Drosophila melanogaster: one gene and its partners. The protein of the gene in region 3 purifies or fractionates together with the protein of the main gene of each other region. This does not show direct contact. Each region holds a gene or a part of one and is shown on either strand. Other genes may lie near its edges.

Region 1 (4,741 bases), on a different chromosome or scaffold from region 3:
GCTCCACCACAGATGGAAATGCCCAGTTCCCGACCACTGATCAGTTTAACCGCCGTTTTTTGGATTACCTCTGGTGGTCCAAAGCGTCGAAGAGGCCCTTGTGGTTCCAGAGTTGCGCGGGGGAGTGCACCTCGCCGCCAGATGCCTGCACGGACTGCTCCAGGGCGTAGATAAGGGCGCCCACTCCGCCGGTGATTGCTCCCAAGGCGCCGATCAGCTGTTCGTGATGCACACACACGCACATACAGCCGCACACAGTCACCGAGAAGCAAACGCGTTTTGAGGTTAGGTCCGATCGGGTATTATGAAATGCGAAGTGGGGGAATATGTGAGATTCCTGACTAGCTGACTTACCTTCTTGTTGCCACTGGCCCAGCTGCCGGCGGAGGAGAGGTTCTTCGCCTGCAAAAAGAACGGATGTCATTTAGTTTGGATGTTCGGCCAAGGAGAGTAAGAATTTTTGCACGGAGTTACATAATTGGATTGTTCGGTTCGTATCCGAGTTCATTTAATCCCATTGGAATTGCGGATACCACTCACTGTGCCACCTAGAGTGCACCATTGGTCCTTGTATTTTATGTTTTACGGTATTATTTCATGTTTTTCTCCATCGGACACACGACTCCTTCAAGGTGCTGCGGTGGCTGTTGAAAAACTTGCATCCGCCGTTCACGATCTTTACCTGCTGCAGGCTGAGTGCTGGCGCGGATTTCAGCAATCTCAAGCCATGGAATCTTCGCAATGTCGCTGCCATGGTGGCCGGAGTTTTAATTTCTGCGTCGTCTGGTCGTTTAAGGAAACTCTGCGGGCAGCCAATCGCCAATCGAATCAATCTTTCAGTACCACTGCCACAACGTCTTCCTCTTCTTCGCTGCTCTCTCGCGGAGGTGGTGGTGGGCAACTCGCTCGTTTGCCAGCGAATCGGAATCGGCGGGGGCGATATTTTGGTATTTTTAAACAGATATTTTAATTTTATTTTATTATTATTTTTTTATTTACTGTATGATATTTATTTATAATATGATATTAATGTATGTATAATTTAAATAATACATTTAAAATATCACTTTTTATTTTTTTCTTTTTTAATAAATATTTGTTACACAGTGTACCTTAATTGCTTTTAGTGTTTTTTTTTTCTTTCATGTTCTTTATTATATCTTCGAATTTACGGTTTTCCAACTTGTTGATTCAAAATACTTCATAATCTAATTGGAACTACTTGTTGACATTAAGTTGGATTTTTTGATTTTTTAGAAACCACTTGATGATTTCATAAGATAAGTTGACAGAACAGCTCTAAAAACAGCTGCCTTAGCCTTAGCCAAATTTTTGGTTGCTGTTATGTAATTTTTCATGTTTCACTGCGCTGTTATCACAAAAAAAGATTTTAATTTTTATTATTGAATTCTTTTCGAAATATCTATAAAATTCTTAAAAGCCTTGAAAAAGGATTTTCAAAAAGTAAAAATAAGTACAATTATCGCAGTTCACAAAATAACCTTCGATTGCTTATATCACAGGTCAATATTATAATTTTATTTTTATTTTTGCTAATTGTTTTTATATATATATTATTTAAAAAAAAATATATAAAATTATTTTGTCTCACTGATGAATAGATTTTTCCGCTGGTCTGGCATCCTTCTCGCCCGTTTTTCGCACACTTATCGATAACAGCTGACCACCCGTTAATGATTCGCCAACAAAAAAAACCTAGCAACGCATAAACAAATGCGAGAAAAAACCCCCTTTATTGATTTCCACTAAGTGCGGTCAGCGCAAATAGTGGTTAATAGCTTTCACTAGACGAGGAATAAAGCCAGGACGTAGATCGCCATGCCGCAGGAGGAGGCAAATGCGGGAACAACGGCCCAACTCGATGACGAAATCGAGAATGTGCGTGTGGTGGTGCGAACGCGACCCATGGACAAAAATGAGTTGTCCGCGGGAGCGCTAAGTGCGATTTCGGTGGATAAGATCAACCGGGCCATTACGGTGATGAAACCGAATGCCACCGCCAATGAACCGCCGAAAACGTACTACTTCGACAATGTATTCGATGGTGGCTCCAATCAAATGGATCTCTATGTGGACACCGCTCGTCCGATTGTGGACAAGGTGCTGGAGGGCTATAATGGCACCATCTTGGCCTACGGACAAACGGGCACCGGCAAGACGTATACCATGTCGGGGAATCCGGATTCGCCGCAAACAAAGGGCATCATTCCGAATGCATTTGCGCACATCTTTGGTCACATTGCTAAGGCCAAGGAGAATCAGAAGTTCCTGGTGCGCGTCAGCTACATGGAGATCTATAACGAAGAGGTGCGGGATCTACTGGGCAAGGATGTGGGCAAGAGCCTGGAGGTCAAGGAGCGACCGGACATCGGTGTCTTTGTTAAGGATCTCAGTGGCTATGTGGTGCACAACGCCGATGATCTGGAGAACATCATGCGTTTGGGTAACAAAAATCGTGCCGTGGGAGCCACCAAAATGAACCAGGAGAGCTCCCGCTCCCATGCCATTTTCTCCATTACTGTGGAGAGAAGTGAGCTGGGCGAAGGTGATGTCCAGCACGTAAGGATGGGTAAACTACAGCTGGTGGATCTCGCCGGCTCCGAAAGGCAGTCGAAGACCCAGGCCAGTGGACAGAGACTTAAAGAGGCCACCAAGATTAATCTTTCGCTATCGGTGCTGGGAAATGTGATCAGTGCTTTGGTGGATGGAAAAAGCACCCACATACCGTATCGGAACTCCAAGTTAACTCGACTTCTGCAGGACTCCCTCGGTGGTAACTCCAAGACCGTCATGTGTGCCACCATTAGTCCAGCGGATAGCAATTATATGGAAACTATATCCACACTTCGCTATGCTAGTCGTGCTAAGAATATCCAAAATCGCATGCACATCAATGAGGAACCCAAGGATGCTTTGCTTCGTCACTTTCAGGAGGAGATTGCCCGACTTCGCAAGCAATTGGAGGAGGGCGACAGCTTGGAGGAGGAGCCACCGAGCTCCGAAGAGGAGGAGGATACAGCAGATGACGAACTGGAGGCACCACTGGAGATCGAATTGGAATCATCAACGATCCAGGCTGTGGAGAAAAAACCCAAGAAGAAGCGCGAGAAAACCGATGCCGAAAAGGAGGAACTGGCCAAGCGCAAAAACGAGCATCAGAAGGAAATCGAGCATGCTAAGACGGAGCAGGAAACACTTCGCAATAAACTAGTCTCATTGGAAGGTAAAATTCTCGTTGGCGGCGAGAATCTGCTGGAGAAAGCCCAGACGCAAGAGCTGCTGCTAGAGCAATCCATTGCGGAGCTGGAACAACATGAAAAGTCCGAGGAGGCGCTGAAGCAAACTCTACAGCAAAAGGCCACCGAAAGGATTGACATTGAGGAGCGTTACTCCACGCTTCAAGATGCCAGCACTGGCATTACCAAGAAGATACACCGGGTGATGCAGATGCTGATGGGCGTGAAATCGGAGCTGGCGGATCAGCAGCAGGAGCACCAGCGCGAAAAGGAGGGCATATACGAGAATATCAGGAGCCTATCCAGGGAATTGGCCTTATGTGAGCTGGTATTAAATTCCTATGTGCCCAAGGAGTACCAATCGATGATTAATCAGTATACGCACTGGAACGAGGACATCGGCGAGTGGCAGCTGAAGTGTGTGGCCTACACGGGTAACAATATGAGGAAACACATCTCGGCGCACAAGACGAGTGGCAAGGAGCCAGATTTCCTCGATCTCTCACATGTCTATCTCAGCTACAACACCGATGGCGTGTCCAATCCAATGCGCTCCAAATCCGCCAGGCCGCGAACCTCGGGTGTGCCCAGACCGACGACTGCCAGGCGATATTGAAGCTAGTGTTGGAAGGACAATCGACTGCTAGTCCAGCTGCATGTCCTCGGCGGTCTGCGCGTCCAATTTTGGTTTCTGCTCCTGCTAATCTTGATTTTCTACAGCCTCAGATTCATTTGCTCAGCGAATTTCCTTTTTGTTAGACCTTAGTTTTTGTTGATTTATTGCTTAGGACATACTTTTTAGGTTGAACAACGGTGCAATATATTTACTACTGTGTTTGTAATTTTACTTTCTAACTTATATTTATTTTATAATACTTACAACTAAGTAGTAACAAGATTTTACCCGATTAGGCACAAATATATAACTATTGTGTGCTCTTGGCTTTTAAATAAAAATATGATACTCACACGTAATTATTTTATATTCTTACTTCAAGGAATTATGCGTAATTTCTTTTTATTTTTTAGCAGCTTGAAAGCATGCTTTAAATTTTCCGGGCTTGCTGAAGAAAACTGAAATTTGGCCGACCTACTCATAACAGGTTCCATAGTGTAGCGGTTATCACGTCTGCTTTACACGCAGAAGGTCTCCGGTTCGATCCCGGATGGAACCACGTTGACAAAAGTATATATTTTTTTAAATTCATTATATGTTTATTAATTTTTATTACGACAGAAAACATAAATTCAAGTTTTTTATTCCCACAAAATACTAAATAATACTTAAGTAAAAACAACTGATTTTTGTGTATACTATGAACACGAAAGAATTATATATAACATATTATATACTTTTGTTTGCTAAAACTCCACTTAGTAAGCGTTTAAAAAAATAAAAATAAAAAAAAGTTACTTCCTCCTGGTTCCATCCGGGATCGAACCGGAGACCTTCTGCGTGTAAAGCAGACGTGATAACCGCTACA
Region 2 (7,710 bases), on a different chromosome or scaffold from region 3:
ACAGCAGTTTTTACAACTGAAATCTAAGAACTCAAGTAATTGCTTTAGTTTCAAAAACTTTTTCGAGCTAGAAACACATGTAGATTATGCTTATCGTATTAATTTACTTAATTTGCAGAAAACGATCAATTATTGCTGAGCACTTTTTTTAATGCCCATAATTTCGATGATTCAACACATATTCACGGTTTGTCAAAATGTTAATTTCAGCGTTTTGGGAAACAGCTGCATCATAAGTTCCCTTAAAAACAGTGAAAACTAAGTTTATTGGACTATATTACGTTTTCTGTTTGCCTTATAGAGTGTCCACTGTATTCCCGTGCTTTGTTTTATCTAGCTTTTTTTGTTGGCAACACTGGCTGCCCAACTCTCTCCCACTCTACGCCCCTTCCTTACAACGCCATCTCTTTTTATGTTCCCTTTTAATTACAGGTGCAGAGCGGGACGGAAGACGCCGGCCAAAGGGGGAAGGGGTGCGTGGTAAGGGTGAGTGGGGGAAACTTGGCTCCAAAAGTGCGCGATCAGCATGAGAGAGTTCATTAACAGTTGCAATTGAGCCCGCGAAGCACACTGTAATTGTTGTAATTCCAATTTCCCACCCAACTTATACGCAGCTTTCCAACATTTCCATTTCGCTTACCTGTGCAGCTTGTAGATGAATAGCACCAGGAACGAAATGTAGATGAGGGCCACGAAGACCAGCGGCAGCAGAAAGGTGACAATCAGGGGGGTGAGGAAGCGATATAGCCATAGCGAATAGTCCAGATCGATGTAGGAGGCTAGAATCACAAGGTATGCAGTTGGTGGAGGGGCATTTGTTATGTATGTATGTATGTACATAGGTCAGCGGTGCGCCTTATCGGGCGCCAAATATTCGATATTACTCACACAACAGGGAGTGCAGCGTTTTGTACAGGTTCTCCAGAAATTCCATTGTCAGGCGCTGCTCCACCTCATTTGTTGTTCTTGCGCGAAAAGAGAAGCGACCGCCCACCACAACAAAAACACAAAAAAAAACGGTAGAAAAAAGAAGGGAAAATACGACAGAACAAAAAAAAAAAAAAAAAAAACAAATCGGTTTGGCCTGATTTTGTACACTTTCTTCGGCTCGCTTTGCGCTTTTCGAATTCTTTTCGCTTCCTCCTGCTTGGCGATTCTTTTAAATGGTCATCGTATAGTGCGTTTCATTTGAATCAGTATTTAGTATTTGCGCGGCTTGAAATGCATTTTATTTGCATGTTATTTGCTATTGTTATTGTTATTGTCAGTCGAGACTGTTTGCTGGTTTGTTTGTTGTGATTTTCCTAGCACAATGTAAACAATTCGCGGCGCTGCGCTCCACTCGGCTCACACGCAGTAGAGACAACCGACACCGTTCGCAGTCAGAAACATTGTGATCGCGCCGCGCTTTTTTTTGGTTAATAATACTACAAAGTAGCGATTCTTTTATTGTTGTTCCTTCATTCCATTTCGTTTGCTTTTCTGTTGCTCATCTACGTTCTTTGCACCTGGCAACGCCGGCCCAGCTGTTCTGGCTGCAGTCGTTGCCAGACTTTGGTTCTTGGCACCCAGAACAGAACAGTGATGCTCTCTTGGCTAATCACACCTGTTTCTAGCCGGTCAAGGAAGTTCGAGGAAAAACAAAGTTGTTAGTATACTGCATATTATGAATGGCAAGTTCCCAATTAGAATACAACCGCCAACTTGAATTTGAACATTCGCTTATTGGTTTGTATCGATTGAGTGCTATCGGTAATTGCCGGGTGCCGTGGCACCATCGATAGTACCGCCAGTGAGCAGACAGTTGTGCCAGCACTAGCACTTATCGACATTAAATCGGAAGTCGCATTGCAATCGCATGCAATTTGTTTTGTTATTAATTTTCCAAATAATCTCGGGCCTGGTGCTGCTGCCAATTGTGATTCACTACGTCTATTACATAATAAATGCGATTGCCGGCGATCTGTGCGAGCAGAAGAGAGCGCAAAGAGAGCAGCAGCTGCAAAGGAGCCCCACTCCGCGCCACCAAAACCGCCACCCCCCGCATCCGCCACCCACCGAAGAGGAGCCTGTGCTTTCCATAAACAATTTGACAAATTCTAGTCGCTCTCCGACAGCAGCAGCAACAACAACTGCAATGCAAACAAACGATGACGCCAAGTTTATAAAAAAGTGCGTATGTATGGGATTAGATCGTGCGTGCGTGCGTGTGTGTGTTTGTTTGTTTTCATGTGTGGGTGTACAAGTGGCCGAAGAACAAAAGAAATAGCTAAAGCACTCGTCATGCGTCAGAAAGAGAGCCACAATCACCTGGCGCTCTCTATTGATTTTCCACTTTGCGTTCACGCTTCCTCCTTTTGTTTTTTGTTATTTGCAACCGTTAATCGTTATTCGTTATTCGTTGGGTTCTTAACTTTTTTGTTCGTTTTATTAAAACAAAAGCACAAGTTAAGCCAGGCTCAAAAAAAGAATTGGATTGAAAAATCTATTACCTCATTACGCATTGAACCGCATAATTTATGATTGATCCAACAATTTGTCTCGCTCTCAATCCAAAACAAATGCAACGACAACAACAAACAAACAAACAACGAAGGAGGTGGAAAGGCGGATCCATTGAACCGCATCCCACGGATAAGGCGCTGATTGTCAACTACCAACTGGAGGCCACCGTCTTCGGGGAGCCCAACAATCCGATGATCGAGGAAAAGAAGGTAAGAACGCACGGTTACACATCGCTGCACTGGGAGAAAATGCTAGTAGATATTAGAAAATTAAAATAGGACCAGCATTATTGGTATCAAAGATGTTGATAGGGAAAGAATATAATAACAACAATATGCGAACATCTGTAACTTAGTTCTTAACTATGTTAGGTTCATAAAAAAAAAGGAAACAAAGTTGATCCTTAATCGAATAGGTTGAAAAATTGATCTAGATGTGTACACATACATATATTGCTTATTAGTTTAAATACTAGCAGTCATTGTTCTACAAAAACATCCGAATGAGTACTTAAAAAAGCTACTTCTGTTTCTTCCGGTGTGCCCCGAAAAGGGTTAAGGGGCGGGGGGCAGAAGCTGACATTGAGCGGCCCAATCGATAGCGCAACAACAACGGGGTCGATGACGGCCTGCGCTCCAAGTAGTGAGTGAAAAATGTAAAACCACAGCAACAAAAAAAAAAAGATACCCAAAAGCGGTTGGTTGGCCGGGTCTTTAACCTCAATTCACGTTTTTTGGCCGAGCGACAAGCTTATTTTTCGCCGATTGTTCACGACCATAAATATGTACTACATAAGTAAGTCTCTTATGTTTTGCTCTTGGCCATAAATATTGGCGACCAAAAAAGTTTTCAGCTTAGATGCGAAGTGGTTAATTGCCCTGAAGTGGTCCTAAACTAGTTCCTCAATCCTAATAATTACTCTATGTTTATAAATAGCAAAATAACAGCAAAAACAATTAGCCTAATAGTACATTATTTCAGTCGTTAACTAATGCATGTATTGTATTTAATCGCCCAGCACTGTCAAAAAATCATACGACTCCGTTCGCTGAACGCCAAAACGGATCCGGCTGCCTTGGCACGAGAAGTGGTGGAGAAGTGCGATCTCATCCACAAGTCCCAGCTTAATGACGTCGAGCAGATAATCTTTTATCTGAAGAATCGCAAGGATAATGCAAGCAATGGTAAGCAGTTAGATTGTTAGCAGAAATCCATACTAACACTCAGTACCCATTAGATATACCGGATAACAACACTCACAGCCGGCGATCGGCGGCGCTGCACACTTCGCACACCCGCTCCTCTGCTCGATCGCACAGCAGTGTGGCGGCCATGACCAGCAGCACCGGCAGCGGCGGAGGATCCACTGGAGCTAGCAATGGTGTCTCGAATGCCCTGAGTGCCGCCACGCCCACGGCGGATGTGTCCATAAACAATATCGATGAGTATGTGGAGCTGCTGTACGAGGAGCTGGGCGAACGCATTCGAGGCTCGGCCATGATCCTACAGATGGCGCGAAATCCCGATAATCTTGAAGAGCTGGAAAAGAATGGTAAGGATAAGTTTGCAGTTCTGTAGTTTTGAACCCAAACCCAATGTACTATTTCATCATTTTAGAAGCCTGCCTCAGCGCCTTGTCACGTGTTCTGCGCGAGGACTGGCGCAAATCCCTGGATCTCTCCACCAACATAATCTACATATTCTTCTGCTTTTCCACATACACCAAGTTTCATCCGCTCATTGTGCAATATAAGGTGGGAATAGAGTTTCTTAATTAAGTTCTAAGCACTCATTTAATCGTTGTTAATCTATTTCAGATTGGATCGCTGTGCATGGATGTGATTGACTATGAGCTGCGTCGCTACGAGACAATGAGAAATGAGCTGGACGTGCGCAAACAGCCCAATGGATCATCCACTCCACATTCGGCAAAGGCCAGCAAGGAGAAGCTGAACCGCAGCACCGACGATTTCCTGGACATCATGAACGAGGAGAAGCCCAAGGAGGTAATTTTATTTCTATAAGTTCTTGAAAAACATATCTATCGAATACTCAACAAATTCACTTTCAGATGGAGCCGCCGCGTCGTCGCATTCCGGAGCTAAAACAGCGTCCCAAGTCGGGCAATTGGAGCAGCTTTCACGGCTCCATGTCATCGTCGCTGATCAAGAGTCAGATCCTGAATAGCAGCTATCACGAGTCCCTTTGCGCCGGCGGTTCACCTGGCGGCGATACTCCGGCTGTGCCCGCTGAACAGAAGGCCCAAAGCAACGAGTCGCTGGACAGGAATGATCCCAAAGTGAAGAAGGAGGAGATCGATCGGCTGAACAAGCAGCTTAAGATCTTTGCCAAAAAGCAGGAGCAACTGTTGCGCGTGGCCTTCTACCTGCTGCTGAACATGGCCGAGAATGTTAAGCTGGAGGAGAAGATGCGCCGCAAGCATATCGTTAAGATGTTGGTCAAGGCGCTGGATAGGCAGAATATCGATCTACTCATGCTCGTCAGCACGTTCCTCAAGAAGCTATCGATTGTGGGCGACAACAAGGACGAGATGGGCGCTTTGAACATTGTGGCCAAGTTGCCACGATTGTTCCAGAGCACGCACACGGATCTGGTGCAGGTCACCTTGAAGCTGGTCTTCAATCTCTCCTTCGACGGCGGACTGCGTCGCAAGATGATCGCCGCCGGCTATCTGCCCATGCTGGTGATGTTCATCAACGATGAGAAGCATCACGGCATTGCTGTGAAAATACTGTACCACATGAGCTTGGATGACAAAGTGAAGGGCATGTTCACGCAAACGGAGTGCGTGCAAATGGCCACGGATGCCATAATCCTAAACCTCAATGTTAAAGTCGATTTGGATCTCATTGCCTTGTGCATTAATCTCTCGCTAAATCGCCGTAATGCCCAGATTATGGTGGAGGGCCAAAGATTGCATAGCCTAATGGATCGGGCCTTCAAGTACCAGGATGCCTTGCTGATGAAGCTGCTGCGCAACTTGTCGCAGCACGAGTCCCTGCAGCTGCAGTTCATCGACTATGTGGGAGATCTGGCGCGCATTTTGACCATCTGCGATGACGAGGCCTTCATAGTCGAGTGCCTCGGCATTTTGGGTAACCTGGCCCTCACCGATTTGGATTACTCGCAGATCTTGCAGAACTTCCAACTGATTCCATGGATTAGACAGATACTGCTGCCGTGCGCCAGAATGGACGACCTTGTGCTGGACACCATTGTTTACTTGGGCACCTGTGCCTGCGACGAGTTGTGTGCCCTGCTCTTCTGCCGCGCCAAAGTGGTTATATCCCTGATCGAGTTGCTTAAAGCGAAGCAGGAGGATGACGAGATTGTGCTGCAGATCATCTTTGTGTTTCAGCAAATCCTGCGACACGAAAGCACCAGGGAGTACATGATCAAAGAGACGGAATCGGCGGCCTATCTCATCGATCTGATGCACGACAAGAACGAGGAGATCCGCAAGGTGTGCGACTATTGCTTGGACATTATTGCCATAAGCGACAGCGAGTGGGCCAAGCGCATCAAGGTGAGTTGCTTGCCAGTCCAAATATGGCATATCTTAGTACAAACTTGTTTGTGTTTTCTTGTTCTCGTTGTTACATGGCAGCTGGAGAAGTTCCGCAACCACAATTCGCAGTGGCTGTGCATGGTGGAGTCGCAGCAGGACCAGGACAATGAGCAGGACTACGCCGATCAGGAGGACGAGTGCGACAATGATCTGGACACGTATCTGCGCTCCGAGTACTTGGACAATTGCGATCTCTACAACGACAATGCCGACAATGACAGCAATAGCAACAGCAACCATAGCAACAACAATCCGGCCAGCCCGGCCATGTCCACCTACAGCAGGCCACTGAGCACGTGAGTTTTGACCAAGTTTCCACTTCGATTCGAGTAATTAAGTGATAAATCACATGGTACAGCTATCGCCGCAGCCAGGATCTCGATGATTTGTACAACATGACCTCCAGTTCCAAGTCGCAGGGCTCCAGCGACAACAACTACATATTCAAGTCGAACAAATCCCTGGATGCCGATGGTCTGCACGAGGAGCTGCTGATGGCTTAAATGAGGAGAAAGGTCCTAACCCGAATCGATTGAATTTGAATTAAGATGCTTCTGCCGATTGCCCGCCCTCCCGTGTACATGTTTAGTCACTCTGCCTATTAACGACCTTCTGCTTGGATTTATTGGATATTTATATATATATATATATGTATACATATATACGACACCTTTCACGCTTGTTAGTCAAAGACGTTAAATGATTTTAGCGACGCGGCAACTTTGTACTCAAGACATTCAAAATGAGCAACGGCGCACAGACACTGGTTAGTTTAAGTTTGGTTACTTACTTATTGGTATGGTATTTTTTTGTTTGTTATTTATTAATATTTAATTTATTGAGGTCTTGTTTAAGTGCGATGTATGGCTTAGCTTCCACTTTGGTTGTTCGCAACGCAATTACTGTGCAATAATCTCTCACTTAAAGTATTACGTCGAACGTTTTTAGTTGTACTTGTTTTAGTTTACCGAACCTAAACTTTTCGTTTTCTCGAATATCTTACGAACAAAAGTCAAATTGTAATATTAAACAGTGGGCGACAAATGAAACGCCGACATAATGAAACGCCGAAGAATATAAACAAAGCTAATGTAAATGTTCACCTAGTTCGTATTGTTTTCTTTGGTTTTGTTGGCTGTTCAAAAAAAAAAAAAAAAAAGGGGTGAGTACTTTTCCCATTCCGCAGAGCTGTTTGTCTCGCCATTAAAATGCAACAATTTGAAATAATATTGGCTTTTAATTTTGTGTTACACAATAAGGAATATTAAGTTGCAGTTCGTTTCCGAAACATACTTATGACAGTGGCTAGACCGATCCGATAAACATGCATATATCTAGGTATGTATGTATGGTACGTGTATATATAAATAGAAGAATATGCTCTCTAGTTCACTTTATATATATATATATATATATATATATATATCGTGGATATCCGTAAGGCGAGGCCTTCTAGCGTTCAATGTTAAGCTTAACCTAGATATCTCCACTTCAGCTTCAGCATCGGCATCTCCCACTGATTGGTGTTCCGTTTCCACTTCGATTTGACTTGGATCGCTTCGCACATCTGCCGCAGTTTTTGCACTTAGACTATGGTTTTAACAAATTTTTACACA
Region 3 (7,605 bases):
AGGCCGGAACTCCTACCAATCCTGCTTCCGCCTCTGGGGGTCCCAACTGATCCTCCTTCAGTCTATTTTCTAATCGGCGCCCTTGCATTTCAAACTCACTCGCATTTTCAGAGCCCATTTTCGCCTTCGTTAATCTCTGATGAACCCGGGTACTAACCGTTTTTTGATTATTTGTGGCCTTTACATTTTTGAATAAAATTATGATTTAACAAAGACTGAAGTGAATCGAGAAATTCTTTCTCAATATCTTTGGTTATTCCATTGCAATGTCACAACAAATTGTAGCCTATTAATCGTTCTCGAGAATAGCATTGAAAATTACGATTCTTTAATTTATTATTAACACATAACACATAGGGAATTTTTGAACGTGCAGCAGCATATGATACTTTGAATTTAGCGCCCCATTGGAGGCACTGCTTATCGATATTTTATCCAACTTTGCCCAGCCCTGGTTCGATAGGTCGGAAAGCCCTGCAATTTGCATGAAAGACACCCAAAATTACTTGTTTTTCGTTTATCCTGGGCTTAACTCGACTTAGCGTGGCTGCTAGAGGGCTTCTCCTCGTCCTTGGGCGCCTGCTCCTTCTCCGGGTTCAGCTTCCAGATGGCGTAGTTCAGAGCCGTCGCGAATCCCAGCCAGGCGACGTAGGGTACGAAGAGCAATCCAGCGGTCTTGTTCACTCGGTAGAACAGAACGCCGCAGGCGGACGCGGCGGCCGTGAGTGCAACTATGTCAATAAGGCCCTGGTGGATGAAGCGGATTAGACATAACACCTGGGCTTGGTGATATCAGCAGTACTCACGCCCTTGATGTTGTGCTGCCCGAAGAAAATGGGCGTCCACGCCCAGTTCAAGGCCAGCTGGGTGCCGTACGCGATCAGGGGCAGTTTGGCCGCCTCGCCGGCGAAGCCTCCGCCATCACGCCACACCAGGTAGGAGCCGTAGCCCATTCCCGCGTACAAGGAGATCCACATCGGCGCAAAGACCGAGTTGGGCGGCTTGAAGGACGGGAACTTAAGGTTGGCGTACCAGCTCTGGAGATGCTGCCTGGTCAGCCGCCCGTTATAGATGCCGCCCAGATTGGGCAGAATCACGGCCCCGGCGATGCGGAGAATGTTTCCAGCACACGGACGATCAGCCATTTTCAGAGTTCGCACTGCAAATGAGGCGCAGTAGTGGCGAACCTTCTGGTTTCACTGTTTTGTTTGCCGGTGATTTCATTCGAATGCACGAGTATTGCGAGTTAACGGGGCGAATACGCGACGGATGATTGTGTGGGTAAGCTCCAGCGATGCCAATTTGGCTAGATTTAAACTAGCTAAAGTATGTGGAATGCAACTTGAAATCAAAGACGCTAGAATTAATTAATAGAATCGCATGGTTATTTAGAGCTGTGAACATTTGATTTCTGCCATGAAGGAATTCTCATGTTTTTCTTTAACATGCTATCTGATTAATAGGGATTTAATATTTATCTGGAATTTTGGCAAAGCTGCAAAGTCATTGCTAAGCCGTTAATAGCTGGTTGTCACATGTGCAGGGGAGGAGCATAATGCTTATCAATAGATTCCAAAATGATGTAATGAATGAGTAATGTCGTCGATCTATGGAAGTAATTATTATAATTATATCTACCCATTCGTATTTATTTAAAATTATCTTCGCTGCTGGGTGTCGGAATCACCCTGTGGGTAGGCAGATTTAACAAAACCCGTTAAGTTTTGAAAATAGAAATAGAACTGTATTGTTGGGAAGTACCATATTAAATTCCCTGGAAAAGTTTTGTTTAGCTTGTTTGTTTGTTTTACCCCATGACAAATCGTGCGATCAAGTGGTGAATGATAACTTGAGAACTCATAAACCAAAGAGTTATTTGTCGGTAAAGTGAATTAATGGTGAAATAAAACTATTGTGCTTATTTGCTCTTTGCAATATCCAATAACCTGGATCAAGTTGGTATCTCAATTAATCAATTGCTTAGGAGCAACCATGACAACCGTTGCTAGGCAAACACATTGTTACTGTGTTTTGGCTCCTGCCAAAACAAATTCATCCACTAAAGGTGGAAAACCGGTGTGATGACTCTCTACTTTGACACGAAAATCGAGTTCTTGGACTCGGATGCAGTGAGCACCATCAGCAGCTGGCATCCCAGTGAGCCGCTCTTCGCAGTGGCCTCTTTTAGTCCCGAAAGAGGCGGTTCAGTGACCATCTTTGCAGATACCGTCAGTATTAATCGCTTTGGTCGCAGACCCTGCCAAAAATCGGAATGTATATAATCTATATAATCAAATTGCAGGGTGAGCCCCAGCGAGATGTAACTTATCCGGTGCACGCCACTTCGCAAGCGACGGCACTATGCTGGCATCCGGAGAAGGCGCTCCTGGCCAGCGGTTGGGAGCACGGCGACATCCATGTGTGGTTCGCTGGTCACAGGGAGTTTGCCAGCGTGAACGCACCGCACAAGGCGGCCATCGTCCTGCTGCAGTTCAGCGAGCAGGGCGGGCGGATGGTCACGGCGGATGCCATGGGCTTGGTCACCGGATGGCGCTGCGATGGCCAGTACCAGTTCCTAACCATGTTCTCCCACGACCTGCGGGAGGTGTTGCTGCTGATCTGCTTCCGCCTTACGGTGGAGAGTGAGGTGCGCGAGGAGATGGCCAATCTAGCCAAGGCTGCTGTGGCAGGCGATGAGAACGCCCTGGACACCCTAACCAATTGGAGACCGCGCACAGCAGCCCGGAGCATGACCCATTCGGGGGTGCGGGACAACCACTGCTTCTACGCTTGCACCCAAGGAGGAGTGGTGTACTACATCAACCAAGGAGGCGCCTGTGTCGAGGTGATGAAGTGCGGATCACTGCCTCCCATTGTCCAGATGTTGTGGCACCCAAGAAAGTAAAGAGCTGTTGAGATCGAAAGGTTCTTTACCTGAACCCTAACATTATTCCATTCTAGGGACGCCGTCATTTGCCTGATGGAGGACTTGACAGTCACCTTGTTTTTGGTTGAATCCACAGGCATCCTTACGGAGCTGGATCGTGTTAAAATGAGCGGACGTGGAGGCGGTCGGCAGGGAGGCATCGCGTGGTCTGGAAACTCTTTAGCCATCATAACAGGTAGGATATATTATTCGATTTTTCACTTCTGTGCTAAATTTAAGACTAATTTTCAGGCGATTTTTTCGTCCGCATTTGGGACATCGAGAGAAGCGACAATTACCTATTGAAAATGGACCTACCCAGTGGCAACCAGCCAGGCTCATCTATGACCACTTTAAGTAATGGCACCATGTCCTCGTCCAACCAATTCTTTAGCCATGACAGCAGCGAAAGCAGCGGCGTTCTCCGCAAGACACCAAAGTACGGCCAGCTGAACGGCGAAATGTTCACCTGCTTGGCATATAGCTCTACGGGACAGACTCTGTGTGCAGGAACGTCCCAGGGGAATGTCTATACTTGGAAGAGGAGCGGCAGCAGGCTAGTCGGTGCCCCCGAAGATGCCTGGCAGCTGACGAACATATCTTCCGTGCGAGGAGCCATCCGCAGCTGCGAATGGGGATACAATGAGCTAGCCAAGCCCTGCATGCTGGTCAACTGCCTTTCCAATGTTTTCATGCTGAAGGAGCAACCTCTGCTCGCCGTTCATACCCGCGAACTGTGGGCAGTTCAGAGGTCAGCCAAATCAGTGCAATTGACGCACTGCAGCGGTCGGGAGGCCATTGTTCAGTCCGAGTTCGCCGTGACTGCCATGGCTTTGAGTGAACTGAGCTTGGTGATGAGTAATGGCAGGAGCATATCATCCTATAGCCTGCAGAAAGTGGAGAAGAGCTTGGATGAGTTCGAGGAGATCCTGCAGACAGTGGAGGGCACAACACCGACGACGGAATCTACCACCACTCCGTTGAGTCTGAAACTCCTGCAGACCTTTGCTGCCGAATGCTTAGCCTTGAATCTGTGCAACCAGAACATATTTTGCTTGGGTAGCAGTGACGTTTTTGTTTACTCCGTGGGAGGGGTAGTGCTTCACCGCATTCAAGCAAGCGATATTGAAGGAAAGATCATTGGAATGGATTTGAGTGGCTGCTATCTCTCGGTATTTACCATGAATGGATATGTGAAAGCTTACGACGTTTCTAGGCACGATCCCAAGCTGCTCTTTCCCAGCAAATCGGGTCACGACATTTTCGATGACTTCGGGGAGTTCATTCTGGTCAAGTGCAATAGCTCCGGCAGCCACTTGGCCATGGTGATAGCCAGTAGCAATTTCACCCCTATATCCACTTTATTCTGCTGGGACTTTGAGCGCAGCAATCTTCTTGAATATGGACTACTGGAGCCAGAAACCAACGCCAAGAAGGAGTCTTCGACAAGTTTGCCGGTTCGGATTTTCTGGGATGCAGAGGAACCTCGTCTCTTGGCTACAGAAGTCAAGTCCATGATTCAGAAGACCCTGCCCCAGAAGAACTCCTTGCAACCCAGTCATTTTGTGCAGTCAAAAGTCGTCCTTTTGTTTTATTCCGAGAAAGGCTGCCTGAATGTCCTCGAAACACAATCCATGAGCCCAGGCTGCCAGCTACTGAACCTTTGTGTACCCAACGTGATCCGGCTGAAGATCAATACGATGGAGGAGCAACCTCTGCAAGACTTCGTCGACCTACAGCAGTGCAATCCAGTTACGAGGAAGCAAGTCCTGAATTTCAGTCTCTACGTCGCAGAGGGAAATATGGATATGGCTTATCGCAGCATTCGCTCGATTCAATCGAAAGTGATCTGGACAAATCTGGCTAAGATGTGCGTGCACACGAATCGCTTGGACGTGGCCAAGGTGTGCATGGGCCACTTGGAACAGGCCCGCTCCGTTCGTGCCTTACGCCAAGCGATTGAAGATGACGATCTGGAGACGGAAGCCAAGGTGGCTGTGCTGGCGATAGAACTCGGAATGATTGAGGAAGCCAAGGATCTTTATCGTCGATGCAAGCGCTTCGATTTGCTAAACAAGCTGCTCCAGTCCATTGGGCACTTGGATGAAGCAGTAGAGCTGGCCGAGGCCGAGGATCGGATTCATCTGAAGCACACGTACTATCAAAAGGCACAGGAGCTGCGAGAGAGGGGTGACATCAAGGGAGCTCTGGAGTACTTTGAAAAGACCCAGAATCCAGCGCAAAATATTACCCAACTGCTTTTGGAAAACCCTGGCGCCATGAAGCGCTACATCCAGACCACCAGCGATCCCAAGCTGCTTAAATGGTGGGGCCAGTATATTGAGAGCTCCGGCGACATGGATGCTGCTCTGGCTGTCTACCACAAGGCGGAGGACTGGTTCTCGCAGGTAAATTAGCAAGGCTTTAAGATACCACGAAACACTATACACTAACATCCTGTTCCTCTCAAGGTAAAGATACTCTGCTACCTAGGTAAGATCTCCAAGGCAGACGCGATTGCCAGGCAGTCGGGGGATCGGGCGGCCTGCTATCACTTGGCGAGGCATTACGAGAACGTGGGCAAGTTCCAGGAGGCCATTATGTTCTTTACGCGTGCCCAGACCTTCAGCAATGCGATCCGCATCTGCAAGGAGAACGACTTTCAGGAGGAACTATGGACGGTGGCCAGCTCGTCAAGGCAGAGGGACAAGGCAATTGCGGCAGCTTACTTTGAAGAGTGCGGAAACTTTAAACACGCCGTTGAACTCTACCATCGGGCCGGGATGCTCCACAAGGCCCTCGAGATGGCATTTGAGTCTCAGCAGCCAGAGATCCTGGAAATTATTGCCTCTGATCTAGCGCCCGATTCGGATGCCGAGTTGATTAACCGCTGTGCGGATTTCTTTTGCAGTATCGAGCAATTTCAGAAGGCCGTGCATCTGCTGGCCAAGACCAGACATTTGGAACGGGCATTGGGCATATGTTCCGAGAAGGGCGTACCCGTCACGGAGGAACTATCCGAGATGCTTACTCCGGAGAAGGGGGAGTTCGAGGAGGCGACTCGAGTCCACATCCTCGTACAGCTGGGCGAGTTCCTCCAGCAGCAGGGCGACTATCACAGTGCCACCAAGAAGTTCACCCAGGCTGGCGACAAAATTCGCGCCATGAAGAGTCTTTTGAAGTCGGGCAACACCGACAAAATTATTTTCTTCGCTAATATGTCGAGGCAACGTGAGGTCTACATCATGGCTGCGAACTATCTTCAAGCCTTGGACTGGCAATCGGATCCGCAAGTGCTCAAGCACATAGTCACGTTTTATACAAAGGGCCAGGCCTTTGATTCGCTGGCCAACTTTTATGCCATCTGCGCCCAGATCGAAATCGAGGAGTTCCAGGATTACGGTAAGGCTCTAACCGCCATGCAGGAAGCCTCCAAATGCCTGGAGAAGCTCAGCCACGCCCAGCACGTCTACAACAATCTGCAGCGCACGGTCGCGGATGTTAAGGCAATTCTGGAGATCCAGCAGGCGTTGCGCGAGGGGGATCACCAGCTGGTCATTGGCTCCTGCCGCAGCATGCTGAGTAAGTCGCTGGCCTAGAGTGTACTCAGCTTCCATTAATAACCTTTTGTTTTCACATTAAGTTAAACCCGAACTGCCGCCCATACGCCACGCCCATATCTTGGCCATGCTAATCCGAGCCCTGGTCTACGTCAAGGACTATTCTGAGGCGGGCAGAGCTTTGAAGGAGCTGACCGTGAAGGACAGCACGTGGAGTGCCTCGGGACTCTTGGATCGCAGCATCGTTCACAAAATTGCGCAGGAGTGCCACTTGGAGTTCGATCTCATCTGGAATGCGGGACGCCAGGTGACCGCCTCCACAAGCGGTACGGCCGCCACTGGAATGAGCAGCACTTCTGGGATGACGACTACTGATGATGACGACGCCGATGACGAGGAGATCACCGAGGAGCTGCATTAGATGATTCAATTAATAGGCGATGCAGCACCTAGTCACGTCCCAGTTCCGCAGAGCGGATAACAAGTAAATAGGCAAAAGAGTTCCCTTTAAATTGGATAAGCAATGGCTACAATGGAATGTTTCAACCAGCAGATACTAAGTTATGCTAAGATATTAAGTATTAATGATCATAAACGAAAGTATATACAATGACAGAAATCGTGGAAAGCATCTTAAAGTTCTCAATCAAAACGAACAAGTTACGTATTTGTATAACTTGTATTTGTATTTCACAAGACTGCTTAAATTTCTGCTTATATTGTATACAAATCCCTTGCTTGGGCCATTTGGAATTTTATGAATGAACTTCACGATGTACGCAAGCCTAGTAAAAGCTTTCGGTGCTGAAACATACATATGTATATGTATGTAGGTATATGACTTGGATGTGAGTTCAAGTGACCGACGTCACATCAAAGCAAATATAAACAGCGATACGGATTCGGATCGGCGGATCTGCCGGCGCCAGTCGGAAAGCAAAAGAGAGCGGCCATCCGTGAATCACTTGCCCAAAAGCGTCCGCGTCCTCAGCTATGTATGAAATCAGAGGCATTTCCAGGAAGCCAGCGAAACTCGGAACAATCGAAAGAGCAATCAGTTGGCGAACTGATATAAACTAAATCGAAAACGTCACCGACGTCAAGCAATTGGATATTTAG

Evidence for each region. Proteins that work in one complex are often made in the same cells at the same time.
Region 1: the proteins of rempA (region 3) and Klp64D purify together in Drosophila melanogaster (affinity purification with western blotting, with the first as the bait; one study listed by BioGRID). This does not show direct contact.
Region 2: the proteins of rempA (region 3) and Kap3 purify together in Drosophila melanogaster (affinity purification with western blotting, with the first as the bait; one study listed by BioGRID). This does not show direct contact.

Annotation. Positions count from the first base shown.
Region 1 is NT_037436.4:5,356,353-5,361,093, reverse strand, and holds Klp64D (Kinesin-like protein at 64D), read left to right. Parts: upstream 1-1,701; 5' UTR 1,702-1,839; coding exon 1,840-3,873; 3' UTR 3,874-4,230; downstream 4,231-4,741. Other genes in the region: Cyt-c1 (cytochrome c1), read right to left, coding at 69-217, 355-402, 683-754.
Region 2 is NC_004354.4:11,333,676-11,341,385, reverse strand, and holds Kap3 (kinesin associated protein 3), read left to right. Parts: upstream 1-1,797; 5' UTR 1,798-1,858; coding exon 1,859-2,172; intron 2,173-2,561; coding exon of another isoform or gene 2,562-2,596; coding exon 2,597-2,714; intron 2,715-3,523; coding exon 3,524-3,689; intron 3,690-3,742; coding exon 3,743-4,057; intron 4,058-4,122; coding exon 4,123-4,259; intron 4,260-4,322; coding exon 4,323-4,511; intron 4,512-4,576; coding exon 4,577-6,052; intron 6,053-6,133; coding exon 6,134-6,390; intron 6,391-6,452; coding exon 6,453-6,597; 3' UTR 6,598-7,199; downstream 7,200-7,710. Other genes in the region: CG34348 (uncharacterized protein), read right to left, coding at 641-779, 889-934.
Region 3 is NT_033779.5:553,239-560,843, reverse strand, and holds rempA (reduced mechanoreceptor potential A), read left to right. Parts: upstream 1-1,764; 5' UTR 1,765-2,081; coding exon 2,082-2,228; intron 2,229-2,302; coding exon 2,303-2,901; intron 2,902-2,961; coding exon 2,962-3,122; intron 3,123-3,178; coding exon 3,179-5,334; intron 5,335-5,397; coding exon 5,398-6,508; intron 6,509-6,569; coding exon 6,570-6,907; 3' UTR 6,908-7,102; downstream 7,103-7,605. Other genes in the region: uncNacbeta (putative nascent polypeptide-associated complex beta subunit), read left to right, coding at 1-50; Tspo (translocator protein), read right to left, coding at 529-747, 807-1,145.